7 linked regions of the Macaca mulatta genome follow. The protein of the gene in region 1 binds, or shares a complex with, the protein of each later gene. Links are inferred from orthologs where the notes say so. Each region holds a gene or a part of one and is shown on either strand. Other genes may lie near its edges.

Region 1 (2,880 bases):
CTGTCACATGGTGAGGGGGGCCTTCTGTCAACACTCAATAACCTTCGATTGGATCATCACCAGCCAGAAGCTCCACTTCCTCCCAGGGGGATCTGAAGGCCCATTTCAGCCACCCTCCCCCACCTCCTGCAGACACCACACAGCTGAGCATAGGGGCCAGTGTGTGCTCTGCCAAGGCCTGGGCTGGCTTCCACCGCCTTTCAACAGCACTATGACTGTGGGACTTGGCCGGAAATGGCTCCACTTTGGTCCCCCCAGGCTGGGGAGAAAAACAAGGGTGTTTAACCAGGACATGAGAATGGCACCCATCCGGAAGCAGGAAGCCCCGGTAAGGGCCAAGACCTGGAGCCATGCTCCCTTCTTCTGTCCTCCCAGGTACTGAGACGAATGAATCTAAGAGTCTGTAAGTGTCAACAGTTCTCAAATTGAAATGCCCAAATGTCTACTTTTAGTAAGGAAGCCTCATCTTTTGTACATCTAGTGTTTTAATACACCTGGCAATAACATGCTTGCCTTTGATATGTTAACTGTAACAGCACCCAGAGGTGTCCCTGCATGGCGCTCTGCTCCCCTGATGCAGAGTTCAGAGGGGAAAACATGGGACTGGGCCCTGGAGCCTGCACAGCTGACCCTCTCCTGCCCACTGACCCTCCCCAAAGCCCTCCCCCGCACATGTGGGAAGATCTGCTGGTGCTCTTCGGAGTCCACTTGCCTGGAGGGCCAGAGCTGGGCCATCAGTTTGCGACTATCACTCCTGCTATACCATGCCACAGTCCCACTGATACTAAACACTGCAGCTTATCAACAACTCTGTGTCTGCCCTAAAGATGCCACATAAATGTCCAGGAGACACAGAAAAGCCCCCCGGTCACGTACCTGCCCGGTCGGCTTTGAGCGCGTCCCAGACGTTGCAGTTAAAGTCGTCGTACCCAGCGAGGAGGAGGCGCCCACTCTTGGAGAAGGAGACAGAGGTGATCCCACAGATGATGTTGTCGTGGGAGTAAGTCATGAGCTCCTGGTCGGCACGAAGGTCAAACAGCCTGCAGGTGGCATCGTCTGAGCCAGTGGCAAATGCATTGCCATTTGGAAAGAACTGGAAAGAGAAAGCAAATCAAGACATCATGTTAACACTCAGAAAGAAATATTGGGCATATGGACTGCTCAATGGTAGGGCTGCAGAGAACACAGCAAAGACCAGCAAGACTGTGCTCTGGTAAGAACAGAGGGATGGGCCGGGCACAGTGGCTCACGCCTGTAATCCCAGCACTTTGGGAGGCTGAGGCGGGTGGATCACCTGAGGTTGGGAGTTTGAAAGCAGCCTGACCAACATGGAGAAAACCCGCTCTACTAAAAATATAAAATTGGCTAGGACTGGTGGCGTGCACCTGTAATCCCAGCTACTCGAGAGGCTGAGGCAGGAGAATCGCTTGAAACCGGGAGGTGGTAGAGGTTGCAGTGAGCCGAGACTGTGCCATCGCACTCCAGCCTGGGCAACAACAGCAAAACTCTGTCTCAAAAAAAAAAAAAAAAAAAAAAAAGGCAGGGGAGGTTTCCCAGGAACTACAGGGGATTGGGATGGAAGGGGATTTGCACTGGGGAAGCACATAAACACTGTGATCTTGGACACTGTGATTACTGTCCCCAAAGAGTAGAATTTATTTCAAAGGAATAGTGAGAAAGGAGTCATCACTGACAGGTGCTGTAGCTGCCAGACATCAGGGCTAATCTCATGGAGGAAGGAGCGAAGTGGGCTGAGCAGGGCAGTGGTCAGGACTGCAGCAGAGCTCTATCCAACCAACAGATACATCCTTCCACGTCTCCTCACAAGGCCAGGGGCTGGAAACACTGCCTAGCCATCTGCGTGCTAAAGAGGAGAGCAGGTTTCCTGGTTAGCTGTGCCCCTGACCAGTAAGGCTCTGTAACCGGTAACTGGTGGCCTGAGTTACCTTACTGTCTCTCCCCTCCAGGATCCCAACCGCTGCTCAGCTGTACAGGTGGGAACGGGGACTGGCACATAACAGACACCCTGTGAATATCTATAAGACAAGTGGTCAACATAGAGACGTTTCCCACGGGGAGTTTTCTGTATCCCCATCTGCAGACGAGGTTGTATAAGGATCAGAAAGGAGAACATCTAATCCAGAAAAGTTTAAAATTTAGCAATCTGAACGGCTAGCAGAGACAGCAGAGGCCCCGACCCCACACCTTCACCCAGACTCACGCAAATGGCATTGATGTCAGACTCGTGGCCGGTGAAGGTCTGCCGGCACATGCCTTCTCGCACATCCCAGAGTTTGGCTGAAGCATCACAAGCACCAGAGACAAACAGTCTGGTATCAGGAGCAAGAGAAAGGCTCATGACATCTCCAGTGTGTCCGGTAAACGTGGTCGTCTGCTGGCCGGTCTCGATGTCCCACAGGGCACTGGAGCAGGAGCGAATGACAAGGGGACATCAGCCTCAACTTCTCGGGTGGCTAGTCATATGACAGTCTGTCCTTCAAACCACCCAGGGCCACAGTGAGCCTCTGCACTGTTACTTTAAAAACGTAAATTGTTTAAAGACAAATTTAAATGTAATACAACTTTGGAAGGGAAACAAAGCAAAGTAAGCAAAATTATACAGAGATGAGCACACGGCCTGGGTTTCAGAATGACGGGATCACTACCTCAACTCAAACGCCAGCAAAGAGGGAGCTAGGGGCACTTTTCAAGCAGCAACACTGAGGCTGTGTCCCACTCTTCAGTCATGGATGGGCATGGAGGGGGTGGCAGGAAGCCATGGGGAGGCCCTGGATAGCGGAGGGGGATGCGACTCTACCTGTGGCTGCTCCCTCTGTGCCCTCCCCTGGCCTCCCCTCCACAGGATCTTAGAAAAGGCAG
Region 2 (4,097 bases), on another chromosome or scaffold:
TCAGGATTTAATTAGGAGGAATCTCCTGGGACATTCTTTCATCAGAGCCACAGGAGACAAAAACTAAGATGAAGCATTTTACACATTTCCTCATTTGACGAAAAACACTTTAGTATTGGGACTAATATGAATTAGCACTACACTTCTGGCAAATTATCTATCACTAAAACTAACCTTCACTACAATTATTGTTTATTTATTATTATTTTTTGAGACAGTCTCACTCTATTGCTCATACTGGAGTGCAGTGGCGCAACCTCAGCTCAATGCAACCTCCACCTCTCGGTTCAAGCGACAGTCCTGCCTCAGCTTCCCGAGTAGCTGGGACTACAGGCACGCGCCACCAATCCCAGCTAATTTTTTTGTATTTTTAGTAGAGGCAGGGTTTCGCCATGTTGGCCAGGCTGGTCTGCAACTCCTGATCTCTGGTGATCCACCCGCCTCGGCCTCCCAAAGTGCTGGGATTACAGGTGTGAGCCACCATGCCCGGCCCCTACTCCAACTATTTTATGAGACAGACTGTACTGCTACTTTACCTTCATGTTCTGAGTTTCAGTTTTACCATTTGGAAATCAAACCTGGTTAAATGGAGGATGATGAAAAGAGCAAGTATAACATAGATATATTCGGAAAGATTAATTATCCCTTCCCCAAAGAATTGATTCCTACAGTAAAGTTGTTTTTTTTTTTTTTTTTTTTTTTTGAGACAGAGTCTTGCTCTATCGTCCAAGCTGGAGTGCAGTGGTGTGATCTTGACTCACTGCAACCTCGGCCTCCCGGGTTCAAGCGATTCTTCTGCCTCAGCCTCCGGAGTAGCTGGGACTACAGGCACCTGCCACCACGCCCAACTCATTTTTTGTATTTTGACTAGAGACCGGACGTCACCATATTGGCTAGGCTGGTTTCCAACGAGATCCACCTGCCTCGGCCTCCCAAACTGTTGAGATTACAGGCGTGAGCCACCGAGCCCAGCCCATAATTTTTAACAAAATCTTAAGGAACTGTAAAATAAAGGGATGAACCACCTTAACTGTGCTAAAGTTAATCAGCTCTCAATCAAGTGCTCCAGTGCTGAATAGATAGACATTGCCTCAAAGAATCCAATGAACAAGAGCAATTTAAAATCTAATTTCACATACAAAACAGGAACGCTTGAGTAGAAAGGCAAGGGAGTGACCACTAAGCCCTGCTATTTAAAAAGAAAAACCAAACAGTAAAACATACACCCACCCTTATGAAAGGAAAATCACAGCTAACAAAAGCCTATACTGTCATTTCCTGGGAGTCAATTCTCTGAGGAGACGGCTTGGTCAAATGAGCAATGGAAACAGTTGGAAGTTGTGGGGAGAGTCAGGAGTGTTGGCATCTCAAACCCTCATTTCTACCCACAAGGCGGCCTTAGCAGTAACTCCAGATTCTCTTTTCCTGATCATGGTCATGCCATGCTGAGAATGGTTTCAGTCAGGCTTCTCAAACTTGAAGAGGGATCCGAGCCTTTCTGGGAAGGCTCATGCATGGCAAATGTTGGCTGCCACGGCACAAAGCCAAGTGCAATCATGTAAGCTCAACTGACAGACCCAGCAAAGTTAGTGTAAGGCTTGTGAACTGCCTTGAAGAAACAGGCAACATCTTCTTCAAACACGCTTTTTTTCTAAGTTTCAATCCTGCACAACTCCCAAGACACTCTTCCTCGGCTTCACAACTCTTAAAAAAGGTAATAAAAGGTTTCTATTGCCATCTGCCCAACAGCATGAGCATTTCGCTTGATGAAAGACAAGCGGCAAACTAACCTGGAAATTCCTGTCTTTTTGCGAAGACAGTGAGAAAACTAAGCTAATCAGAAAGCAGACTGAAAGATTCCCTACCTGGCTCTTCCTGGACAACCCTAAAGCAACCCTTAACATGAGCAAAATTCCCTTCGAAAAGTCATACTATATACTACGGACGCATCTTCTAAGAGGTGCTGAGTGGGTGATACGTGCTGTGGATGGAGAGGATGGAGAGCCAACTCTCTAAATGCAAGTCACCGGGAAAAAAAAGGGCCGCCCATGTCAACCCCCGCGCCAGCGTTAATTCAAACGTCCAGAATGTGAAAGGACAGAGCAACGCAAGGGTTCTGTTTCCAGAGCCAGCAAGTATCCTAGGACAGAGAAGAGAAGGCGTTCACACACCCTGGGCAAAAGAACCTACTGAGAAAAAGAAAGTAGAATCACAGCAAAGTCCAGGATCTGGGAAGCCTCCTCCACCGAAAAGCAAAGAGGGCGAGGAAGAGACACCCCAGGGTGAAGCGACTCAGGATCCTCCAAAGCAGTGGACTCCAGGGCGCCATCCTCGTCCTCCCCTCCCAGAGTAGGGGGTCGGGGGAAGCTGGGGACGAGCTGGTGACAAGGGATCGCGGGGCTCGAAGCCCGAGGAGAGTCGCCCGCTCCCGCTGAGGTCTCCTCTGCACGAAGCAGAACGTGTGCGGTAGCCGCAGGCCGGGATGGCCAGGACCTTCCGGGCTGGCCCGCGCGGCCCTCACCTTGTCCGAGTCCAGGTCGGGGTCGGCCTGGCACAAGCGGTACAGGAAAGATTTCGGGTCCCGGCACAGCGTCTGCCTAGTGGTGAGGAAGTAGGTGCCGCCGACGTTGAGCCGGACCCACTTGGACACGCTGCCGGGGCGCTGGGCAAGGGCGCCGAGCCCCGCGCTGCAGCGACGGCACAGGCCGCCACCCAGCCCCGCCCCGAGGCCGCCCCGGGCCGGCGGCAGGAGCTCGCAGTGATTCTCCGCCATGATCCCAGCAAGCCCCGCCACAGCTCCGTTCCACCGGAAGCGTCCGGCTTTTAATAGCGTCCTCCGAGTTCTGTCCCGCCCACAGGTCCGCCCCGGTAGAGCGCCCGCCCCGGCGTCACGCGACAAGCGGAAGTTCCGGTCCGGAAAAGCAGGAGGCTAGGCCCGCTTCCGGCGGGAGCGGAACCGGCGTGATCTGGGCGCCAATGCTGACGGACTGCGGCGGCGACCTGCCTCGCTTTCCCAAAAGCGGGGTGAGCGCCTGACCCAGACCCTAGCCTCTACCCACACCGTGACCCCAGCTCATGCACCGGTCGAAGGAGGAGCCACACCAGCAGACGTCTACACTCTACATGCTTTTTATTACAAGACTACCGAATATACGAGGAAAATTGATCATCTGGTAACTACCCCTGAAGGACAAATATTTGGGGGGGAAAAAAGAATAAACAGATTCATTAAATGATATGATTAAATCATTGACCCAATACAAAATTTATATAATAAGGGCAGGGCCTGGTAGCTCAAGTCTGTAATCCCAGCACTTTGGGAGGTCCAGGCGAGCGGATCACGAGGTCAGGAGATCGAAACCATCCTGTCCAACAGGGTGAAACCCCGTCTCTACTGAAAATACAAAAATTAGCCGGGCTTGGTGGCGGGCGCCTGTAATCCTAGCTACTCGGCATGCGGTGGCAGGAGAATGGCGTGAACCCGGGAGGCGGAGGTTGCAATGAGTTGAGATCTCGCCACTGCACTCCAGCCTGGTGACTGAGCGAGACTCCATCTCAAAAAAAAAAAGGAAGAAAATTTATGTAATAAAGTCAGAAAAAAGTTTTAAAATATAGTTTATAGTAATTGTTCACATTTAAGGCTGTACCTCTATGCATACAACAACGTGGCCCCGAACATGAATTCAATCCATATAATTCGTATATTAGAATTTAGGCCGGGCGTGGTCGGCGCAGTGGCTCACGCCTGTAATCCCAGCACTTTGGGAGGCCAAGGTGGGCGGATCACAAGGTCAGGAGTTCGAGACCAGCCTGGCTCGGTGAAAGCCCCTGTCTACTAAAAATACAAAAAATTAGCCGGGCATGGTGGCACCTGCCTGTAATCCCAGCTACTCGGGAGGCTAAGGCAGGAGGATCAGTTGAACCCGGGAGGCGGAGGTTGCAGTGAGCTGACATCGCGACACTGCACTCCAGCCCCGGCAACAGGGAGACTCCGTCTCAAAAAAAAAAAAAAAAAAAAAAAAATTTGGCCGCGCGCGATGTAATGCCAACACTTTGGAGGCCGAGGCGGGTGGATCACGAGGTCAGGAGTTCAACAT
Region 3 (4,208 bases), on another chromosome or scaffold:
CACTGGGTGTGCAAGGCAAGGCATTATGCAAAGGGTGGCTTGCTCCCTAATGCCCCAGGCCTGGACCCCCATGTAGGGGTGGCCCATAGCCCTTCCCAGGCCTTAGCACACTGACATTCGGCGCTCGCACCTCCAGTCCATTTCACAGATGTGGGCAATTTGCGGAAGGCCATGCTGCTGATGGTGACCCAATGTGAAAACCTGGGCTGCCTGGCTCCGCCTCCTGCTGTCCTCCTAGAATCCTATCCAACCTTGTTTCTGCTCAGGACTGCCTGGGGCGTCACACAGTCCTGGTATTTCTTGGGCAACTACTACATGCAAGGCATGGCCTTGCCAGCTTCACAGGTTGGTTGAAGAATTGAGAGGACAGATGTCAAAACAGGTAAGTCAGTAATAACTCCTATCATTATTGCTATCATCGCCATCACTGCTGTGGATGGGAAAGGGGACAGGAAAAGAAGAACATCTCGTTTCTCCGGGTTCTGACACCTGCAGAGCCAAGGCGGCACCCCATCAGAAGCAATGCATTCTGGGGGGAAAAGTACACGAACGCAGACAGTTCCAGAAAAGGTCCCACCTCACACATTGCCGAACTCCATCCTGCAGGAGGGTCTCAAAGCTGCGGCCACGAAGGAGAGCCGTTTTGAGCCCTAGAGGCTGACTCCCCCATTTCCTCCCTCGTGGGTTTGTCATTTCTGAACTCATTTCTGCACTAACCGTCACTGCTCCCTGGACAGCCCCCAGCTGACAGTCAGTCTGGTTCCTGTTTTGAGAAATCTGATTGCAAATATCTTAGAAAAAAAAGGCCCTAACGGCCTTTTCAGAATGCAGACCAATTTTCCTCTCCCCGGCCTGACGTTCAGTCAATCCAAACACCCAGTGAGCAGGGCATGGCAGAGGGGGCCGGTGAGGGCCATGGGCATGGCACCCCTGCAGCGTCAGCCCAGGCTTAGACAGACACTTCAAAGGCTGAGGGACATCACAGAGTCACAACTCTTATTTCACGCCATCCACATTTCACAGATGAGAAGACTGAGGCCCAGTGAGGGAAGGGACTTGCCCACAGTCACAAGATAAGACCACGGCAGTGTGGACAGGCCCCATTCCCAGCCTGCTGGGGCACCAGGAGGCTAACTCTCAGGCATGCACGAGGAGTTGCCACACGACACAAAGGACCGTGGCGGGCACATCTGCTCCCTGGCGCAGGCCAGGGCAGCCAATGAAATGTAGAACCGGAAGTCTGAAGCCCTGATCTGTTGGCCAGGTGCCACCTGAGACTACCTGTGTGACTTGGCGCAGGCCACTCACCTCTGGAGCTTCAGTTTCCCCACCTGTTCCACAGGGACAAAACCACACCTGTCCTGGCCACCCCATTCGCTGCTGAGAGGCTCACACAGTGGAGAGATACTCCATCAGCCATAAAGAGCTGGACAAACCGCAGCAATCGTCCACATCCTGTGTACTTTTGCACCTACATCCTGAACAGTCTAAACTTTGATACCAGGTGTGATGTCAGTTGTCTTACAGGGGCGGCAGCTAAGGTCCAGCTGTTGCCAGTGTGCTGGGAGGGCCCCTGGTCAACAGCACCCACCGGGCACCATATGCAGTGCACGCCCGAGAAGGAATGTGGGGGAGAGGGCACGGCATGTTTCCCCCACCTGAGCGCGGTCCGAGGGGGAGGGCGTCCGCAGCACCCTAGGTCCTGCTCACCACGCCGCCCCGAAAGCACTCTCAAGCCCAACTACAGGATAGCGACTCCACCAGAGGGTGGGAGAAGAGTCCGGAAAACTGGCTGTCCCCCCACACCTCACACAAGTGTAGACTGGAGGGGAGACGGGTGGGGGTAGTGGAAACCCCAAGGCGGGTGCCGTGAGCAGGGACAGCAAAAGGGTGGGTGACATCGTCAGGCGAGGTAAATGGTGGCCGGCGGAGGGGAAGGGACCCCACAGGGACCAAGGGCTGCTCGGAGGAGGATGAAGGGGCGCGCCGGGCCCCTGTGGGAGAAGGCGGGAGCTAGGGGCTGACAGCGACTGGAGCGGGGGGCCGGCGGAACGCGATAAGGAAGCAGCAGGGCGGCCGGCGGGACCGGAGCGGGCCCGGGGGCCGAAGGGGCAGAGGAGCTCCGGAGTTGGGGCGCTCCGGGCTCAGGCGCCCGGGGTCTGGGGCTTAGCGTCTGGACCCGCAGGCGCCACGGCCGGGCTGCTCCGGGCTCGGGGGCCGACAGAGGGTCGCGAGAGCCGGCCCCGGGGGTCCAAGTCGCGGGGTCGAGTGTGGGGCCAGGGTCTCGGAGTCGCGGCCGGGGTGCCCGCGGGGTCGGGCCGGGGCCGCGGGCGACTTCTCCTCACCTGGGCTCGGGCAGCAGGATCTTCTTGCTGGCGCGCGCGGCCGGCGTGGCCTTGCTCTTCTCCATGGCCATCAGGTAGCTCACGTCGGCCAGCACCGCCTCCAGGTCCGCCATCTTGGCGGCGGCGCTGCCTCCTCCCGCCGCCGCCGCCGCCGCCGCCGCCGCCGCTCCCGCTCGCTCGGCGCTCGGCCCGGTCCGGCCGCGGCTCGGTCGGCCTGGGGCGCCGACGCCTCCCGCCTGGCCCCGCTCGGCGCCCGCGGCTCCGCTCGCCGCCGCTCACAGGCGGCGCCGCCCCATGGCGCCGGCTCGGGCCCGGCCCCGGCTCGCGCTCCGCTCCCGCCGGGACTGCAGTCGGGGCGCCGCCGCCGCCGCCGCCGCCGCCCGCGCGCCCGCGCCCCGGAGCCGCCGCCGCCTCCGGCCCCGCCTGCCGCGCACAGCGCCAGCGAGCCCGCAAGTGGCCGAGCCGGGCGGGCGATGGTGCCCCCTGGAGGCCGCGCGGAGACCTGCGACAGAGGGCTCAGATCCTGGCGGTGACCTCGGGTCTGGACGGAGACCCGGGCCTGGAACAAGACAGGGACCCGGCACGGAAGACGATCCCAGACCCATTCCTTGACCACAACCTCGGGTCACATCTCTGAATCCCAGGCTCTCCAGTCAGGCCGTGGTCCTGACAACAGACATGATCACAAGGAACCTGGACGCTCACCAAGACACAGATTCAGACCTCTGAACACCACCCCGGGGCTTTCATCTCAGACCCTGGCTATAACCCCAGACTCCCTGACCTTTGACGCAGTCCACGACCTGACACCAGACTCCAAACAGGACCCCAGACTCAAACCTTTGCCCGCCACCTCAGACTCTAACCATGACCTCAGATCACAGCCCTGGGTCTCCAACGCCATACCCAGACTGTGACACTCACCCCAGACCCCTAACAGTTCCCCAGATCCAGATTTTGGACCATGACCTCGATCTCATCCTGGTTACTGACCCCAACCTTGACTCTGACCCTAGGCCACTACCATGACCCTGCATCCTAGACTTGGGGTCAGGGCTCAGACCTAGATTGGACTATCAACTCCAGACCACTGTCCTAGGCTCAACACCCAGAACTGTGGACACAGACTTGGGACTAGGACATCTAACCTGGGACCCACATTGGACCCAGAATCCTTAGTAGGTCACCCAGAACCTGGGATCTGACAACTACAGTCCAATTACAGCCTTCCCCCATCCCCGATCCCACCCCTCCTACTCTAGAACCAATCCTGGCCCCTGCAGGCCCACTCTGGATCAAGTACCCTACACCCAACCCCACCCCCTAACAGGCTCGTAGACCCAGGTCCCTGGCCAGCACTCTTGGCAGCTCCCTTCCGTGTACCCCATCCCATCTAGACGCTCCTTCAGGATGGTTCCACATGTAGGGTGAAACCTCTCCCAGCCTGGGAGGGCACAGAGGTTTCAGTGCTGCCTGGTAGGGGAAACCCACCCGAGAGCCCACCCAGAGTGAGGAAAGCCAGGTGTCTCAAGGCAGCAGTCCTATCTCAACATGCCCCTCTCTAGACCCTCTCTTTGCTTTTGAAGTGATAGGACCCTCCTCCCAGCCCTGGGCACATAGAGCTCAAATCTCATTACCATGTTGTGGGCCAGCAACCAGGATCCTTTTGCAAAGCAAGGCTCCCATCTCTGTGCACTTCTAGGCTACCTTCTTGGATCAGTCCCAACAGAACCTGGAACCAGAGCATATCAGAGCTAGTGAGGTTCTCCTCTCAGTGAGTGGTGAGCCCCAGGTTTCTTTTCCCTAACTGCTCCTTCATTTTCTCCCCTTCTCTAATTTGTCACTATAGTCTCCTGTCTGGCC
Region 4 (4,239 bases), on another chromosome or scaffold:
GCGCATCCCAGCACCAGGCATCGAACTTCCCTGGGCAGGATGGAGAAAAGCTGCCGCCCGCGGGTGGGCTGCTGGCGGGGACGCCCAGCGGCGGGGCGGGGCGAGACAGGGGCGGTCTGCAGCGCTGCAGCCGCAGGAGCCCTCAGGGCTCCGCAAGCCCGGCCGGTTTTCGCCAGAGTCTCTCACCCCTCGTGCCTAACCCAGTTCCAGTTTTCAGAAGGCCTTTAGGGTTGTCCCAAGGTTTCTCTCTGGAGTCTAGGTTGACTCCCCTCTCCACCCTCTGAGCCCTGCTTGGGCCATGGCCATGACCCTGGCGGTGGCTGCAGGCGCCCCGAGCTGTGGAGCAGGGGCTGCGCGCCAGAGCTCTGGAGGGCGTGTGGCAGAGCGTGGGGACTGGTCGTTGTGTGCTTGTGTCTCTGGCTGCGTGTACTAGGGGAAGGGCAAATCACACGGCTGCCACATACCCACTGCCACCCAGCGCTAAGAAAAGAGCAGGAAAAACAAAACAAACAAAAAAGAAAAGAAGAAAGGGAAATAGAAAGTCAATGTGGGGGATTCCGGAGCTTGAGGAGTGGGAGGCGCCGCATTCTTCTTGGCTCGCGGCGCCGGGGCTGGAAGACTTGGAGCCCTGGGTGGCCGCCGTCACAGACCTGCTGTGGCGGTGAACTGACCTAAGGATGTGGGAGGGCAGTCTGGGTGAAATGTCCACCGACAGTTCTGCTGGCATTACGCGTTTACCTCCGATTCTCTGTTCTCCTCCAGCCTCTCTGCCCCTGGCGACCCTCCCTGCTGGTATTTCCGTATATGCAAGAGCCTTGACAACATCGCCAGGGACTGGCGGGTCGGTGGACTCTGCCTGGGACAATTTTGTGTCTCGGGGCAACCTCGAGGTCGGCGATGAGCAGGAAGATAGAGAAAGGGATGCGGGTGCTGGAGGCCGACGGAGGCAAAGGGTGTGCCGCCGTGTGTGTTCTTAATGCTGGGGAATTTTCACCTCTCCCGGAGGAGTCTCTACTTACCCCGTGAGGGGCCCCAGGGGCGCCCGGCAGCGCGCATAGGTGGAATTTCTGCGCGTCTACCGGTACCAGGCATGCACCTCACCTGTCCGGGTCCGAGAGCTACAAGTTAGCGGCGATTGCCTGGGACCTCAGGTGCGGACTGCAAGGGACATTCTTGGGGGGAGGGGGGAGGCGTACAGCGGTCCCCAATCTACGACCCCGGGGACTACCGGGGCGGTTCAGGACCCGTTGTGAGTTAGGTGGCAAAGCCCAGGCACAGTCTGGTACCTCATGAGCTTCGGGCTGAGACCTTGTCCCCTAGCCACGGCGGACAGTCTAGCTCCTGCGAGGGGCTAAAATAGAATAGGATTGCAGAATGCTTCCCTCTCCTTTGTCTTGGGACCCTTTCCCCCATTCTTAATGCTTCTCCTCCTTGGCCATGACCCGGAGACCGCAATGGGAAACCTCTCCAGCCCCCAAGGGCTGCTTCGAAAGCGGAGCCGGGGGACAGCCTGGAGCCCGGGCGAGCCGGGCCTCCATCCCACACGCACAGAAGACGCGGTCAGACCCCAGCAGGAAGGAACCCGAGGGGCGGGAGGGACGAAGCTCTCCTTGTCTTGTCCATGGCCGCATCTGGAGTGGGTGGCGGGAGGGGGGGCGGCAACAGTAGAGGGTATGGGGGGCTGTTGGGAACGATGCCGGGACAGCGCGGCTCCGAGGCTGTTTTCGCCACATTCGGCTGGACTCAGTGACCGTCGGAATCGTAGGGGTACCCCGCCCCGCGCTGTGCCTCATTTGCCCCTTCCTTCCATACCCGCCATCACTGCCCCCAACCCTCCAAGCCCCAGGATCCAAAGTTTCCGTTTGAGAATCTGCACGTGGGGAGGACCTCCCTCCAATTCCCCCAAGCCCCGACCCCTGAGCGTCCGGTTTGGGGGGATATGAAGGGAGAGACCCCCTGGTGCCAGGGTCCTCGGAGTGGGTAAGCGGAGAGCTGCACAGCGCGGGGCCCTTACCTGTCGCTGGTTTCGCTCCAGTTGCCTCCCCGGCTGCGAGGTGGTGGAGGCTTGAAGGAGCGAGGAGCCGTTTGTGGGTTCAGGGCCGATCCGCCCGGGCTGGAGCTGCGCACCGCTTAGAGTCCGAGGCCAGCCGCCGGTTCTCTTTCTCCCTTGATCTTGCAAAAGAAAAGGAAAAGATTAGTTGATGCCGAGACACTGGAGGGGTGGGGCGGGAGAGGCGGGAGAGGCGGGAGAGAACCGACCCAAAGGCTCTGGCGAGAGCTGCGGGGCTGGCGCGCTTGCAGGCAGAGTCACGCACCCCACACTCGTCTCAGCCACTTGGCTAGTCTGTGACCTGTTCGTGGTTTAGACTGGAGTTAAATTGACGCTGCCCCCGCCCTCCACGCCAAACCACTAAAGGAGAAGCAAACAAGACTTTCAAACCTGGCTTTCACGAAGAGCCTGGAGACCAAAATAGAACGGAGACCTGGATGCCTCGGCGAGCTGGGTTGGATTCATTTCTTCCCCAAAGTGCTTGGGGAAGTAGGAATTAGTTTTGGGGAGGCAACACCTATTCCGGTATCTCGGCGATTTCCTGGTGAAATCTGCGATTGCCAGGCTCTGGCCAACCGGCAGCCTGGAGCGTGTGAGTGTGTGTGTGTGTGTGTGTGTGTGTGTGTGTGCGCCCGCGCGCGCTCCGTAGGTCTTTGCGCCCGGGCGCCTTTAGTACAGCAGGAGAGCGTGTCTGTATTCGTGCGTGTGTGTTCGATTAGCTGCAATGGACGGACAGTTTCTGGAGAGAACATTTACAATTTTCTTTCAGTATGACAGGATTAGTTGCTGTTGAAGGCTCTCCCCCAATGAAATCTTCTGTGCTCTCTGATTTGGCGGTTCTTCTGAGCAAATATGACAGCCTTTTCTCCAGGCTCTTTTTCGCTCCTCTCCATTTCCATCCCCAGAGCCCAGCTCTCCATCTGCAATTTCTACATCAGAACCACCCCCAACCCCGAGTCCCTTCCCTGCAAGTGTGTGAGTGCTACAAAGGTGACATGGCATATTGGGAAGAACGCAGTATTGCCTTTTGATTGTCGGAGATACTTAAGCTCAGTTTATTCAGGTGGGAAAATGTTAGACTAAACCCCCTATGCTTTGTAAATATATAATTGTACTGAACTATTCACATATTGTTTATTTCTTTGGAGCGTTGACAAATGTATTCGAAGGAGAAGTAATTTTTTTTCTCTTATTTTAAACATGAGACAGTGACCATGTTTTCTTCACCTAATGGGCAGTAGACTACAGAATACACACACACAAACACACACACACAATATATATATATACAGAATATATATATGTACACACACATACACACAGAATATATATATATATATATATATGTTTGATGCTTCAGGGAATTTGTGATCTCCATGAAAAAAAATTAGGATGCAAACTTTCTGTGTTCAGACCTGCCTCTGATGTTTATTCCTTTATTTTAATGAGAAATTTCTTCCAATAATTGTATCCATTAGTTTTTAGATACTAACCTCATTTGACAAAAGTACAATGATAGGATTCTAAAGTGTAGCTGAGGCCAAAACTTGCTTTTGTAAAGGCATATGTGTATGTGACTATAACATCGATATATATTACATAGGCTGTATTTTCTCTCATCCAACTTCAATCAAATAAAGAGCAAGAAGTGGAAACTTTAAATTAAATAGCCCAGAATTGGACATATCACTTTTTGGGTCACAGGGATAGCCAAAGAGCAAGTTAAAGATACATTGATATAATATAATATGGTCAATTAAGTTGTTAAGTTCTTGATGTCCAGGGCTTTGCTAGGTATTAAAGGACATCCAGAATAGCAAAATCCACCGCTCCTGTGTTTTTATAGGCTTCTATTCCTATTGACAAGAAAAGACACTTCATATGAAACATCTATGTAACAGTTGACAATCTAATGATTAATTTTATAGCAATGTAAATTTATTGATAAATGGAAATGCTGTAGCTGAAAGTTTCTGCCCTTTTTGTTAACTCATAGCTATCACCAAGCAGGACCTGACACAAAGTTGATTTTGCTTGATTGAAGTCATCCTAAAATATAGCATTATAATACTGTACCTCTGCCTTCAACCTCCATACTCACATCCCACCATCACTGGGTGATTATAAGATACCTGTGAGAAAATCAAAACAGCCCTGTTAAGTTTTGTTCTCAGCCTCTCCCAGCATTT
Region 5 (4,040 bases), on another chromosome or scaffold:
GAAAGAGAATAGCAATAAGAGACTTAAGAGTTTCCCCTTCCCCTCTTCAAATGTGGATTCCTTAGCACTAACTGAAAGAATACTTTTCAAAAATAACTAGTTGATTCCATTTAACCACAAAGAAAATGTCTCAGCTCCCTTATATTTTTAAAAAACAATCAGTATACTATGGGATACTTTCTGACTCAGTTGCTTATGACAGATACCCTTCTCCCTGATGTTCTAATATTTCGGAAGTCTTTGAATAGAAAGAACAGACAATATTAAAGACACATTTTTGTACATAGTCACTGTTATAAAATGTACAGCCAACAGCCTATCACTGAATTATTTTTTAGCTTAAACACATTTTGCCATAAAAGATAAATCTAACAATTCAGATATTCTAAATATAGACATAACACAAAGGCACAGGCAAAAATACTACAACATGATCACTTCTATGCACACATATCTTTAGATCTCTGTGAAGTATGGCACAAAAAGTAGCACAGTTTTTCATAAACTGTATAATTTGATTGCACTTTTGCTTCATGGTTCACTGTAAAATTCTAAAATTAGTGTTTATGTGCTCACATTATTCACCCTACTGAGAATTCTCTCAAGAGAATAAAACATAGAACATTTGGCTTTCTAAATGACAGTGTTGAAACTTGCAGTGTAGTTATGCTTTGGCATACATAAAAAATAATTTCTAAAACCTTTTAATTTATATTTTACTATTCCCTGTTAGAAGAAATCAATTGCACATGAAGCCTAAATAGCTGGAAATAACCCACAAAGTGACAACAAAATGATGACTTTTTAAAATGCTGACGCTTTTCACACTCAGGTTCAGTCATGCCAGCTGGAAAGAGGTGTTAGATATGGCTTTATTCATTCTAAATCTGAGAACTGTAGTCATTTCCAAGACATTTCAAAAATTGAAAGCAACAGCAATTTGTCTTCATGATCTTAAGTCTTCTAATTCAAAAGCACTTTTGAAAACCATTTCTACAAACTTAGAAGGTATCCGTACGAATAATTTGCATGCTATTGCTTAGAGTCAAAGTATTCTGTCTCAGATTTCCTAGTGAATGAGGAATACTTAGAGATAAAACACACACACACACACACACACAGGGGAACCCCGTAACTGAGCCACTTCAGATACGACATCCATTAAGAGGGCCTTTGCTTCTAACTGTGTAAGGGTCGTTGGCTGTAGTCTGACTTGCACAAGAAGTACACATAGCCCCTGAGAGGCGCTTTAGTCCTCTTTGGAATACACTGTTGGAGAGACTATAAATGACACAGTTGCAGAAACTGTTACTAATAGCAAGCCAGGTGGTCAAGAAGGATGCGAAGCGGTTGCTGTGGCCAGTGGAGCTTTCCAACAAGAAGTAGATGATATATGGCAACCAGAGGATGTAAAATACACTAGTGATTCGAAACAGGACCATGGCATAGCGCTTATCAGGACAGGCCTGCACTTCCCCAGTCTCCCCACTCTGGCTGCTGAAGCGGGCTTGCCTTTCGCTGATTTCTTTTGTGTGCTGTTGACAGATGCGGAAGATGTTGAAATAGGTGAAGCAGACAATAAGGGCTGCTGGGGCATATAACATCATCACGATGAACAGGGTGAAGTAGGAGTCAGTGTGCCAGGATTCCGCACACCACTGAAACACATCTCCATGATATCCAGGTTTGCCCCAGTGGAAAAAGGAAGGCAGGAAGACCAGGGTCGAGTATAGCCAAATCAGGAAAATACACAGGCGTAGTCTCCAGGGTGTAACCAGAGTATTATAGGTTAAAGGTTTAGTAATGGCAATGTATCTATCAATGCTGATACAAGCCAGAGAAGCCATGGAGACGCTCTTCAGAACTGATACTACGAAACCAAATATCTGGCAAGTCAAGGACTCCTCTACTGGAAGGGGGTGATGGAGGAGTGATAAAGAAGGGACCAGGCAGCTCACCCCAACAAAAAGGTCAGCATATGCCATAGTCTGGATAAAATAACTTGTAGTGTGATGGTTCAACAAAGGTGCACAGTGAAATACAAAAATCACAATGATGTTGCCAGAAATAATCAATACAGTTAGAAAGACAATAATCAATACTTCCAAAAGGCAAAAATTGACAGTTTCCAAATAGCCAAATGCCAAGAGGCAAAAAGGGTGGCTGCTCTGATTACCATCCAAGGTGGAGTTCATCTTGAGCTCAGGAGTGATCTGTCACTTCATGCTGCCGCTTGGCTGCTGCCAACAGTTCAAAGAAGCAGCTGCTGTCATTGCGGTCAGCTTTGCATGTGTGTAATAATGCCAGAGGAGCCTTAGTCCCCAAGCTCCCGATGCTGCTGCTCTGGTGCATTGCCTGCAGTGCAATTCCCCTTTAAATCCTTCCTGGAATAAGGAGAGCCAGCAGTAGTTGTCTGGCCAGTCCCAGACGTGGCCATAGCGCCAGGTTCACCATACACATAGCACCAGGGGAGCAACGTAAACTCTGGGGACAACGTCTTCAGGCCAAGTGAGGGTAGGGGGAAAGGGTAGAAGAGAAGGGAAGAAGATTAGGAGCTTCAGCAGGAGTTGTAATGAGTCTCCTCTGAACAGCTGATAGAAGAAAAGGAGAGAGCATTTTACATTTCACATCCAATGCCCTAATCAAAGAACCTGGCTAGCTCAGGCTGGCATCATCCCTCCCACTCCACCCCTACTAGCACCACTATTCATGGCTACCCTCAATAGCACCCCACATAACTGATCTGTACTGTATAGAGGAGCAGCAGCAACATCAAGCTTTCAAGATCAGCATAAAACAAAACCAATCACAGTCAGATTAATTTACCCCCATTTCCTTTCATTTGAGACTTGGGGGAAAAAGGGAATTTGCTTATAATATTTATGAAAACCTTTCACTACAATTACCACTAATAAAAATAGCCAAAATAATTTACTTTCTTCATTGATTCCAATATAATATTTTGCCTCTTTGAAAACATTTCAACAGAATTTGCTGTTTAGTTCAATTTCAGAATGTTACCTGTAATTCTGCATGCTGCAATCCAAACAAAAGCCACAATACATCCTTAACAGAAAGCCTTGCAAAGCAGGAATGTGCTTCAACTCGCGTACTGCAGAACTGAGACACGAAGGGAGGGGATAAAGGAGTAGGAGGGGAAACAGGGAGAAGAGGGGGCTTGGGAAAAAGAAGAAAGGGGGAGGGGAAAGAAAACGCCTGTATGTGCACACACTCCGGAATCTTTAGCAACTAATTGGAATTCATCGTCAGAGAGGTGCCCCCTGATTTCCAGATTGCACAGTGTGGGAATGGCTTGCTATGCCTGCAGTGCCTCATTTGAAAGCTGTTTCCTCGTCTGTCTGGAATCCCCCTTTTAGTAGATAAGCAGAATTCAGGCTGCTAGCAAGGAGAAGGGGCAGGAGCAGAACAGGGTGTCAGGAGTTAGACTGAAACACACTGCCAGAGTGGTAATTCCTATTTTCTCATGGCATTTTCCCAAAGAACAAAGAGCAATATTAAAGAAAGGAAGTATATTAACCTCCTTTAAGTGTATGGCATATGGCAACTGACAATCATAATTCAGCTGCACAAGAAGTTCTAGCTAGAAGGCTATTCACCATTAATTTTGTCTCTCATGATTCACTGAATATTGGCCAAGAAACTTTAAAATCACTTTTTCAAGAGAAAAGTAAAGTATTTCCCATTCTGAATACTACAGAAATAGCACAGAGAAATTACATTGTTCCCATATTTGACACTACCCTATAGTTTTGAGATACATTTCTTGCTTCTAATTTGCTGAGCAGTATACAAGAATACAAACAAAAGATAGAAAAGTAAATGTACCTTCTTCTACTCAGGCATGGATATTACAGGAGGTTTCATGGTACAAATAAGCCTTTGTATCTTAGAATATACAATCTTGTTTCTGCCTATTTAAAACAATGCAAACTGGGATTATATTGTGGTTTTCCTAGTAATGTCATAAATGATGACAATTTTCAGGTAACAGAGTTGGGTGCTATGAAAATGTGTAATTT
Region 6 (4,014 bases), on another chromosome or scaffold:
CAGCGCTGCGTGTGTTTGTTCATTCCCAAGCCACAGGAGCCCTTGTTTCTTTCATTCAGTGAGTTGGCTGAGGAGAGGGGAACGAGTGGAAACGCACAGCTTCCACACCTTTTTAAAAGGAGCTCCTTACGCATGTGGACGAAAGAGAAGTGGCAGCGTCCCCACCCCTGCGTTGGTGGATGGAGGTGGTGGCGAGGTGACGATGCCTGAACATCCTGGCTTGGGGCTGCCGGGCAGCCGGAGAGGAGACAGAGGCTGAGGGCACAGCCCGTGGCCCTAGACCCCAGCAGGCACAGCCCCTGGCCCTAGACCCCAGCAGGCTCAGCCCCTGGCCCTAGACCCCAGCAGGCTCAGCCCCTGGCCCTAGACCCCAGCAGTCTCCTGGTGTTCCACCCAGGAAAGGGGCTCTCCCTGGAGGCCTGGACATCGCCCTGGGATCTGCCCGCAGGGCTGGCCTGAGCCCATTTCTGTCTGATCGTTCAGGGCTGGTTCCCAGCCAGGCGCAGTGGCTCACATCTGTCATCCCAACACTTTGGGAGGCCGAGGTGGTGGGATCACCCGAGGTTGGAAGTTCAAGACCAGCCTGGCCAACATGGCAAAACCTTGTGTCTACTAAAAATACAAAAATTAGCCGGGCATGGTGGCACGGGCCTGTAATCCCATCTGGTTGGGAGGCTGAGGCACAAGAATTGCTTGAACCCGGGAGGCAGAGGTAGCAGTGAGCTGAGACTGAGATCTCACCACTCAACGCCAGCCTGGGTGACCGAGTGAGACTTTGTCTGAAAAAATAAAAATAAAAATAATCTTTTTTAAAAAGGCTGGTTTCCCATCAGAGACAGGCAGGGCCATACAATAGTGCTCAGGGAGGTGCCCAGCCAAGCTCTGGTGGGGCTGGGGCGGTGGCTGTGCTCACAACAGGCTTCCCAGCAGGGGTTCAGGCACTAGAGGGTCTTCTCCCCATCTCCTGCAACTTCCAGCAGGAAGCAACTACCCCGTGACTGCCCGCCACTCCCAGAAAGCCTGGTCTTCCCATCCCTGCCCCTGGCTGACCGGAACGTGCGCCCACACTCTCAACAGCAAAGGGCGTGTGCCTCCCTGTGCTCCCAGGAGAAGCCCCATCCTGATGCTTCCTGGTTGGTGTCACAATGGCCAAAGGAATGTGGCTCTGGGGCCAGACCAAGGGTGGCCCTCTGTCTTGAGTCCCACTCATGGGCTGCTCCAGGCTAAGCTGGTCAGCACTCTGAGGCTGGAGGTCCCAAGACCCTGCTATGGGCCAGAGCTCCAAGTGTCCCCCAGTGAAACTGCCCTGAAGACATGTGATGGGTGCGGTGGCTCACGTCTGTAATCCCAGCACTCTGGGAGGCCAAAACGGGCGGATCACCTGAAATCAGGGGTTTGAGACCAGCCTGGCCAACATGGTAAAACCCTGTCTCTACTGAAAATACAAAAAAAAAAAAAATTAGCTGGGCGTGGTGGTGCACACCTGTGATCCAAGCTACTCGGGAGGCTCAGGCAGGAGAATTGCTTGAACCTGGGAAGCGGAGGTTTGGGCCACTCTAGCTCGGGCAACAGAGCAAGACTCCATCTAGGAAAAAAAAAGGAAGGAAGGAAGAAAGAGAGAGAGAGAGAGAGAGAGGAAGGAAGGAAGGAAGGAAGGAAGGAAGGAAGGAAGGAAGGAAGGAAGGAAGGAAGGAAGGAAGGGAGGGAGGGAGGGACAGACAAGGCATTCAAGTGGAGGAGATCCTATTTCCTGAATCACGTTTCATATGACCCAGCTCAAGGGGCCCAGAACCGCTTCTCCGTCCACCACTCGGCCGGTGAGGGGTAGCGGAGCTGCCCAGGGCCACAGCGTGTGGTGGGGCAGTGAGGTCGAGGACCAGGAGCCCAGCAAGGGCCATTCGCTGAGGCCTCAGAGATGAACAAGTGGGCTGTTCCTGGGATACCACATTAGGCAGGGAGGGGAGGGCGGTGCTCAGCGTGAGAAGGAAACACTCTTACCTGGATGGTCCTGCGATCTGGAGTAGACACCACGCACCTGCACACAAAAGACCACAGTGTGAGAGACGCTCGGGGAAAGCCTCCAGAGAAACCGAGCCCGTCTCCATCCTGGCCACTTGGGGACATTACCTGAAAGTTGTAACAAAATAGCAGCAGGCGGGAGTACCAGCAGCACAGCCGCAGCAGCTTTGCCATGGCTTTCTGGGAGGTCAAAGCTCGGAGCCAAGTGAAATTCCTGAGGGTCTGTGAGAACAGGACCTCTTAACCTTCACTTCCTTGGAAAAGGGACATTTTCACAGGTTCCAGGGGGGAAAAAAAAGTTCTGTCTCCTTAAAGTTTGTGAAACGCAGCTGTTTTGGAGACCTAATGGGTGTTTCTTCCTTGTCTCAAAACTTGAGATTCTTCAGTGATCAATAAACACGTTGCGATGACCAGAGCAGCTGTGGAATGCAGGGAGGAGAAACCCAAATCCGACTCACAGTCCTGGGAAAGCAATCCCAGGTCACCACTGTGACCGCGACCTGCGCCCGGGGATGGGAGGCTGTTTGTCCTGCGGTGTTTTCTTTTTATTTAAAAAGCCTCCGTTTGTCTCGGTCAGGTTTGGTGCTTCCCTTTTCTCTGAAGAAGGTTTTGTGCGTGGTTTTTCCCTGGAGCGCCCGCCTGCTCCTCGGACTCGTCCTGCGGCCGCTCTGGAGCTCCTTCTGGTCTGGCTCAAGTTCACACCTCCGTCCCGCTCTCTGGGTGGAGAGGGAGTGAGTGATGTAAGTCTCTCTCCTCAAACCTTGTTCTGTTCTCCTTCTCTATTTATATCCCCACTGCTGTGTCCTTCCTGGGTCCTAACTCCAGCCTCTTAACAACAACTGAAATATTTTCAGGATCTCAGGCTCAGAATCAAGCCAGACAGACACGGGCTGTGTGTGTGTTACTGATGCCTTCTGGTCGGCACCCTCGAAGTCAGCATAAATATTAATAAATACAAAATGCAAAACAAACCATAAACTCTGTTTAGATCTGAGTCTTGTTTGCCTCCGAGAAAGAATGAAGTTGATAGAGGGATGGAAAAGAAAAACCAGCACACCCACTGTGCCCTCCATATTAAGTGTTTACCACATTTTTCTCTTTAATCCTTTCAGACGTCAGTGAAAGCTACAGAATTAATTACAAGGTACGCTGCCCAATTATACCATACCGCATATCCCCCCACCCCAGCACCAGGAGGATGTTCTCAGTGTGACAGAAAAGAGCCCCTTCTCCAGACATGCCTCAGTTTACCCAAGACCAAAGTTTATCCTATCTATTCCAAATCCACGTGTACACACAGAGACACACACCCTATAATTGCAATCACAGCTATATTTGCTATGTGATTTCAGTAATACTTACCCTTCATAGTTTCTCCCGCATTCACCAGCTGTGTTTCTAGGCAAACTACTTAATCTCTCTGTTTTCAAATTCCTCATCCGCAAAATGAGGGTTAACAGTTCCTCCTCCTCGGGGCTGTAACAATAAATTAGAGGACAGATCCAAGGCTCTTCAGGCAGTACTTGGAAAATATGTGGCACTCAATAAATGCTGCTATTTTTTATTAAGAAAAATTATCACTCAGTAAATGTTAGCTATGATTATTATTAGCAAGTATAACACAACACCCAGTAAACGTTAGCTGATACAGTTATCTCAATCGTCCTGACTTTAAATGGGAATTAAGAACCCCGAATCCAACATGCTTCCTAAAGAGGATAAGAAATGACTTCCAATCTCTGTGGGATAGAAAAAAAGAAAGTGCTGTCAAAACGTTAGGTGATTATTTTTAACTCGTGCCTGCAGCCTATAACCACTCAGATCCTCTGATAGCCTGAGCCTCTCTGTGGAGCTGGAGAAGGTTTCCAGAGAGTTCCATCTCCTAGCACTAGAGAAACTGTGAACTCCAAAGGCCCAGGGCTGTCTGTAATAACGACCTTTATCCTGTTGCTCAGGCTGGTCGGCTTCAGGGAAAACTAATTTACAACCTTTATC
Region 7 (4,300 bases), on another chromosome or scaffold:
TGCTACTCCGTAGTGAAGTCCGAACTTGGCATCCCCTCTCCCTGACTCACACCCCTGTCCTCATTTGTCCCCTCTGCTGTGTCTTTGCCTCTGCGTCCCAACATGGAGGAGCCCTGATTCCTTAGCACCTGCAGCCCTCTCCCAAATGCCCTGCGCACCACCGAAGAAGAGAAATAGAAGAGCAAGGGGTCCAGACTGGCATTGAGTGAACTGAACACCACCGCTATTGACCGCCACCAGGGGCTTTTTCTCTGGTGATACCCCACCAGGTGGGACACGTTGTAAGGTCCGAAGCACACCAGGAAATTGAGCAGCGTCACCACAGCCAGCCCCACGGCTCGGCGCCGTTTCTGGGCCCCCACATGGGGCTGGGAGAGCATGATCCACACAAAACGCCAGTAGCAGAAGATGGTGACCGCCATGGGGATGAAGAAGAGCACCAGGCACAGCTCCAGCCGCACGGGCAGCACCACGTCCAGCTGGTGATCGGTGAAGTTCTCGTAGCAGGTAATTTCATTGCCACTTCTGGCCTGCTCAGTCGTGTTCAAATACTGAACAATGATCACAATGGTGCAGTGACCAAAGGACATACCCCAGGCCACCAGAGCTGCAATCACTCCATACAGAGGCCGGCGGGAGAGCTTGTACTGCACGGGGAAAGCCACGCCCAGGTAGCGCTCAATGCTGATGCCCGCCAGCAGCCACGTGCTGCAGTAGATGCTGCTGTAGAAGCCGAAACTCGTGAGGGCACAGACGATCTTGGGCAGGTACCAGCGGAAGTTCGATGCGGCCTCGATGATCTTGAAAGGCAGCAGCAGCAGCAGGAGGAGGTCCGCCAGCGTCAGGCTGAGCAGGAGGATGTGCACGGGTGCAGGCTGGGGCTGGCGGACCCGCCCCACAAAGGCCCGCAGGGCTAGGAGGTTGGCAGGGAGGCCAGTGAGGAAGATGATGATGTAAGCCATGAGGATCAAGGAGCTCTTCCAGTCTGGCGGCATCCTGGAGGAGAACAAAAAAGGGCGGGGTCAGGGGGTCTCACTCACAGCCTGTGCAGCCAGCTCTTGTTCAGGATGCAGACATCCTCCCCGGCACCGTCCCCTTCCCAGGACAGTGCTTTCTGATGCCACCACGGCTTGCTCACACCACCTGCTCAAACTACCCAGAGCAATTATTGACTTTGCCTTGGGCGGGATATTAAGCAGTAGTGATGATGTTTGCCATCATGTGTCTCTGGGGGAGACCAACCCGTGGCTTCCCAAGGGAATTCCCCCTCCATTTTCCCTAGCCTTTCTCCTCCTATCCTCACAGATACAGGAAGTTACTGTTATCAGTTTCTAACTTTACCCAAGTCCCTTTCTCAGACAGAGACCTGCAGGAGAGAAAGGCATCAGTGTGGGGAGAGAGCTGTAAGACATGTGTCAGGATAACGAGGCTGTGGGGCCCCAGGCGCTGATGCCCAGTGCCAGCTCTCCACAGGACCCAGGTGCCCAGCCACCAGCCCAGCTTCCTACTTCCCTTCCTCTGTTTTGCAGGGCACAGATTCTCCCCCACCTTGTCCTCCTCTGTCCAACACCAAACTGGGACTCTCTAGAAAAGGGGAAGCTGGGCCGGGCGCGGTGGCTCAAGCCTGTAATCCCAGCACTTTGGGAGGCCGAGACGGGCGGATCACGAGGTCAGGAGATCGAGACCATCCTGGCTAACACAGTGAAACCCCGTCTCTACTAAAAATACAAAAACTTAGCCGGGCGAGGTGGCGGGCGCCTGTAGTCCCAGCTACTCCGGAGGCTGAGGCAGGAGAATGGCGTAAACCCGGGAGGCGGAGCTTGCAGTGAGCTGAGATCCGGCCACTGCACTCCAGCCTGGGTGACAGAGCGAGACTCCGTCTCAAAAAAAAAAAAAAAAAAAAAAAAAAAAAAAGAAAAGGGGAAGCTGGAGCCGGACGCAGTGGCTCACACCTGTAATCCCAGCACTTTGGGAGGCCGAGGTGGGCAGATCACCTGAGGTCAGGAGTTTGAGACCAGCCTGGCTAACGTGGTGAACCCCATCTCTACTAAAAATACACACACACACACAAAATATTAGCCAGGCAAGGTGGCGGGCGCCTGTAATCCCAGCTAATTGGTAGGCTGAGGCAGGAACCTGCTTGAACCTGGGAAGCGGAGGTTGCAGTGAGTCAAGATCGTGCCATTGCACTCCATCCTGGGCAGTAAAAGCAAAACTCCATCAAAACAAAACAAAACAAAACAAAAAAAATGGAAAAGGGGAAGCTGAGAGGCTTAGAGGAGGGTGGAGGGGAGGAAGGATGAACCAGCACTAGCCTTAGGAGGAAGGCTTGTCCCCAGAAGACCTTAGAGAAATATTCAGAAAAGCCCACAGGCTTCACCGGCCCTTGAGCCTGACATTCTGACCATAAATAGAACTCGTCTTCTTCACAGGGTAACTCAGTTTCCACTTGGGGTGTCACCCTTGCTGGCCCCCAGCCCTGGTCCTGTCCCTCCATCCTCTCTCCACCCTTGATTTCCTGGCTGTTTCCTTGCTCCTCACACTAGCTCCTGTCCCTGGATATGAGCCTTCCATTTGGTTCTGACATCCTTCCTCCAGTCCCCTAGAACCTTCCCCTCAAATCTGATCCTGGCCTCTCTTCCCAGAGCACAAGTACTACACTAGCTGCCTTGCCTTGTGTTGTTCCGGATAGATGGCTTCTTGGGATTGGTTCTGAAGGGAGGTCTGCAAGTTTCCGGGAGAGAGGAACACAGCTTTAGCCCCTGCTTCTGTCCATGCCATGCAGGAAAAAATGGTGAGGAACCTGGTTGGTAGGAAGCATTTATACCAGCACCAGCCACGTGACCAGAGAAAGGAAGGTCAGTCTTTAAGCAATATTTCCTCTCAAACCCAAAGGAAAGGCCCAGCATCTTTATTCTCTCGAGAGAATCTTCACTCTTGACTTCCAAATGCAGATTTTTCTGTCCTTAATTCTTGATTAAAATAAAAATTGCCAGGCATTTTTCTTTTTTTACTTCTCAAGTCAGATTGTTTTCTCTTCTCAGGCAGTTTCTTCTGTCATTCTGCTCATTCTCAGAAATGAGCTTTCCCTTTTGAGGGTGAGTCTTGCTCTGTCGCCTAGGCTGGAGTGCAGCGGTGCCATCTCAGCTCACTGCAACATCCGCCTCCTGTGTTCAAGCGATTCTCCTGCCTCAGCTTCCCTGGGATTACAGCCACCTGCCACTACGTCCAGCTAATTTCTGTATTTTTAGTAGAGGCGGGGTTTCACCATGTTGGTTGGTCTTGAACTCCTGACCTCAAGTGATCCGCCTGTCACGGCCTCCCAAAGTGCTGGGATTACAGGCATGAGCCACTGTACCCAGCCCTCCTTCCTTTTCTTCTTCAATTTTTTTTTACTTTCTCTATGGTCTCCTGCCCTCTGCCCCCAACACATTTCTTTTGCCCGTCCTGGCCTGCATCTCGTTATGATAGAAATGGTGTGGGAGTTACAGTTATGCAGATAGATATGGGCTCATATCCAGGTCCCTTCATTACAACCTTGGGGCAGATCAGTTTCCTGAACTCTAGTTTCTTATAGTCAAGTGAGCATGTGAATTCTGACATCCGAGGACTTCTGCGAGGATTCAGTGAGGTTGTGTATGTAAGCACTTACTAGATGCCCGTTAGTGTTGCCTCGTCCCAAGCCTGTAACACAGCTTCATAGAGAGTGAGCCGCTTGGTGCAGCCTCCAGAGGCTCAGGGCATGGACGTGCCATCTCTCTTGGGAAAGTGTCAGGAATTCAGGAGGCCCGAGTTCACGTGCCCGTGTGGCTTTTCGTCAGGGAGTGGCACTCAGGCTCCATTCCTTTCCCTGATAAAGTCTCAGTTTCCCCCTCTCTGACCTCGGTAGCCCCAGGTTAGAAGCTCCTGAAGGTCTCTTTGAAAAGCACACCTGAGGAAGCAAGGATCGTCAGAACGTGTTTTCCTCTTGACCTAGGGAAGAAGTCTAGGGAAGAAGTTTCTGTTCTGCCGTCTGTGGCCTGATTCCTGCTCACAGAATCCCCATTCTTTCCCTAGGACATACCTATTTCCTATCGTTTGCCATTCATTCATTCATTCATTCATTCAGTCAGTCAGTCAGTCAGTCATTTATTCTTTTTGTGGTCTATAAGGGTCCACATATTTTGATATTTATCTTTTCTTTCTCGTCCACTCTACTCTCCTCTGAAGGTGTTCTAGTTCTTTATTTCCTTCCCCCCAGCACACGTCACTTCTCAGATCAACAGGAGAACTAAGAGAGACCGTTCTCTGTTATTGCCAC

What was found.
Region 2: the proteins of GNB1 (region 1) and KCTD5 are in contact, whole or in part, in a cryo-EM structure (PDB 8U7Z), measured with the Homo sapiens proteins. The link is inferred for Macaca mulatta from reciprocal best matches to the Homo sapiens genes GNB1 and KCTD5. Residues at the interface, in NP_001269468.1 of Homo sapiens: Arg52, Gly53, Leu55, Lys57, Tyr59, Gln75, Asp76, Gly77, Lys78, Thr87, Asn88, Lys89, Val90, Ala92, Pro94, Leu95, Arg96, Ser97, Ser98, Trp99, Met101, Leu117, Gly131, Asn132, Val133, Arg134, Val135, Thr143, Tyr145, Gly162; in NP_061865.1 of Homo sapiens: Val157, Arg159, Val160, Leu161, Gln162, Cys163, Gln164, Glu166, Glu167, Gln170, Met171, Thr174, Met175, Ser176, Asp177, Trp179, Ser190, Tyr191, Val205, Lys207, Leu209, Glu219, Ser221, Lys223, Ala224, Leu227, Gln228, Arg230, Gly231, Ser232.
Region 3: the proteins of GNB1 (region 1) and GRK2 are in contact, whole or in part, in a crystal structure (PDB 5UKL), measured with the Homo sapiens proteins. The link is inferred for Macaca mulatta from reciprocal best matches to the Homo sapiens genes GNB1 and GRK2. Residues at the interface, in NP_001269468.1 of Homo sapiens: Leu55, Ala56, Lys57, Tyr59, Ala60, Gln75, Asp76, Gly77, Lys78, Pro94, Leu95, Arg96, Ser97, Ser98, Trp99, Val100, Met101, Leu117, Tyr145, Ser147, Asp186, Met188, Cys204, Asp228, Asn230, Asp246, Ile270, Cys271, Asp290, Phe292; in NP_001610.2 of Homo sapiens: Tyr553, Gly556, Lys557, Asp558, Phe584, Pro585, Asn586, Arg587, Glu589, Pro597, Gln598, Leu600, Thr602, Glu604, Ala654, Leu657, Val658, Val661, Pro662, Lys663, Met664, Lys665, Asn666, Lys667, Arg669, Pro671.
Region 4: the proteins of GNB1 (region 1) and CHRM2 are in contact, whole or in part, in a cryo-EM structure (PDB 7T96), measured with the Homo sapiens proteins. The link is inferred for Macaca mulatta from reciprocal best matches to the Homo sapiens genes GNB1 and CHRM2. Residues at the interface, in NP_001269468.1 of Homo sapiens: His54, Leu55, Asp312, Asp333, Ser334, Phe335; in NP_000730.1 of Homo sapiens: Val50, Asn51, Arg52, His453.
Region 5: the proteins of GNB1 (region 1) and GPR21 are in contact, whole or in part, in a cryo-EM structure (PDB 8HJ1), measured with the Homo sapiens proteins. The link is inferred for Macaca mulatta from reciprocal best matches to the Homo sapiens genes GNB1 and GPR21. Residues at the interface, in NP_001269468.1 of Homo sapiens: Gln44, Arg46, Thr50, Arg52, Ala309, Gly310, His311, Asp312, Asp333, Phe335, Lys337; in NP_005285.1 of Homo sapiens: Pro57, Leu58, His61, Arg313, Arg317, Thr324.
Region 6: the proteins of GNB1 (region 1) and ADGRD1 are in contact, whole or in part, in a cryo-EM structure (PDB 7EPT), measured with the Homo sapiens proteins. The link is inferred for Macaca mulatta from reciprocal best matches to the Homo sapiens genes GNB1 and ADGRD1. Residues at the interface, in NP_001269468.1 of Homo sapiens: Arg52, Asp291, Val307, Ala309, Gly310, His311, Asp312, Asp333, Phe335; in NP_942122.2 of Homo sapiens: Ser593, Val594, Ser595, Arg598, His819, Lys822, Val823, Leu826.
Region 7: the proteins of GNB1 (region 1) and FFAR2 are in contact, whole or in part, in a cryo-EM structure (PDB 9CM7), measured with the Homo sapiens proteins. The link is inferred for Macaca mulatta from reciprocal best matches to the Homo sapiens genes GNB1 and FFAR2. Residues at the interface, in NP_001269468.1 of Homo sapiens: Arg52, His54, Leu55, Asp312, Ser334, Phe335; in NP_001357016.1 of Homo sapiens: Arg37, Gln38, Pro39, Gln40.

The regions. Positions count from the first base shown.
Region 1 is NC_133406.1:238,916,187-238,919,066, reverse strand, and holds part of GNB1 (guanine nucleotide-binding protein G(I)/G(S)/G(T) subunit beta-1), read right to left. Parts: intron 2,424-2,880; coding exon 2,222-2,423; intron 1,094-2,221; coding exon 877-1,093; intron 1-876. UniProt on the Homo sapiens protein: Guanine nucleotide-binding proteins (G proteins) are involved as a modulator or transducer in various transmembrane signaling systems.
Region 2 is NC_133425.1:3,916,721-3,920,817, reverse strand, and holds the start of KCTD5 (BTB/POZ domain-containing protein KCTD5), read right to left. Parts: upstream 2,801-4,097; 5' UTR 2,774-2,800; coding exon 2,522-2,773; exon of another isoform or gene 471-2,521; intron 1-470. UniProt on the Homo sapiens protein: Its interaction with CUL3 suggests that it may act as a substrate adapter in some E3 ligase complex. Does not affect the function of Kv channel Kv2.1/KCNB1, Kv1.2/KCNA2, Kv4.2/KCND2 and Kv3.4/KCNC4.
Region 3 is NC_133419.1:7,118,544-7,122,751, forward strand, and holds the start of GRK2 (beta-adrenergic receptor kinase 1), read right to left. Parts: upstream 2,801-4,208; 5' UTR 2,459-2,800; coding exon 2,346-2,458; intron 1,491-2,345; exon of another isoform or gene 1,309-1,490; intron 1-1,308. UniProt on the Homo sapiens protein: Specifically phosphorylates the agonist-occupied form of the beta-adrenergic and closely related receptors, probably inducing a desensitization of them. Key regulator of LPAR1 signaling.
Region 4 is NC_133408.1:176,693,419-176,697,657, reverse strand, and holds the start of CHRM2 (muscarinic acetylcholine receptor M2), read right to left. Parts: upstream 2,801-4,239; 5' UTR 2,441-2,800; exon of another isoform or gene 2,260-2,440; intron 2,173-2,259; 5' UTR 2,015-2,172; intron 1-2,014. UniProt on the Homo sapiens protein: The muscarinic acetylcholine receptor mediates various cellular responses, including inhibition of adenylate cyclase, breakdown of phosphoinositides and modulation of potassium channels through the action of G proteins.
Region 5 is NC_133420.1:24,744,776-24,748,815, forward strand, and holds GPR21 (putative G-protein coupled receptor 21), read right to left. Parts: upstream 2,801-4,040; 5' UTR 2,196-2,800; coding exon 1,146-2,195; 3' UTR 275-1,145; downstream 1-274. UniProt on the Homo sapiens protein: Orphan receptor.
Region 6 is NC_133416.1:138,337,995-138,342,008, reverse strand, and holds the start of ADGRD1 (adhesion G-protein coupled receptor D1), read right to left. Parts: upstream 2,801-4,014; 5' UTR 2,194-2,800; coding exon 2,128-2,193; intron 2,036-2,127; coding exon 1,999-2,035; intron 1-1,998. UniProt on the Homo sapiens protein: Adhesion G-protein coupled receptor (aGPCR) for androgen hormone 5alpha-dihydrotestosterone (5alpha-DHT), also named 17beta-hydroxy-5alpha-androstan-3-one, the most potent hormone among androgens. Also activated by methenolone drug.
Region 7 is NC_133424.1:46,711,541-46,715,840, reverse strand, and holds the start of FFAR2 (free fatty acid receptor 2), read right to left. Parts: upstream 2,801-4,300; 5' UTR 2,674-2,800; exon of another isoform or gene 2,660-2,673; intron 2,216-2,659; exon of another isoform or gene 2,100-2,215; intron 997-2,099; 5' UTR 996-996; coding exon 3-995; 3' UTR 1-2. UniProt on the Homo sapiens protein: G protein-coupled receptor that is activated by a major product of dietary fiber digestion, the short chain fatty acids (SCFAs), and that plays a role in the regulation of whole-body energy homeostasis and in intestinal immunity.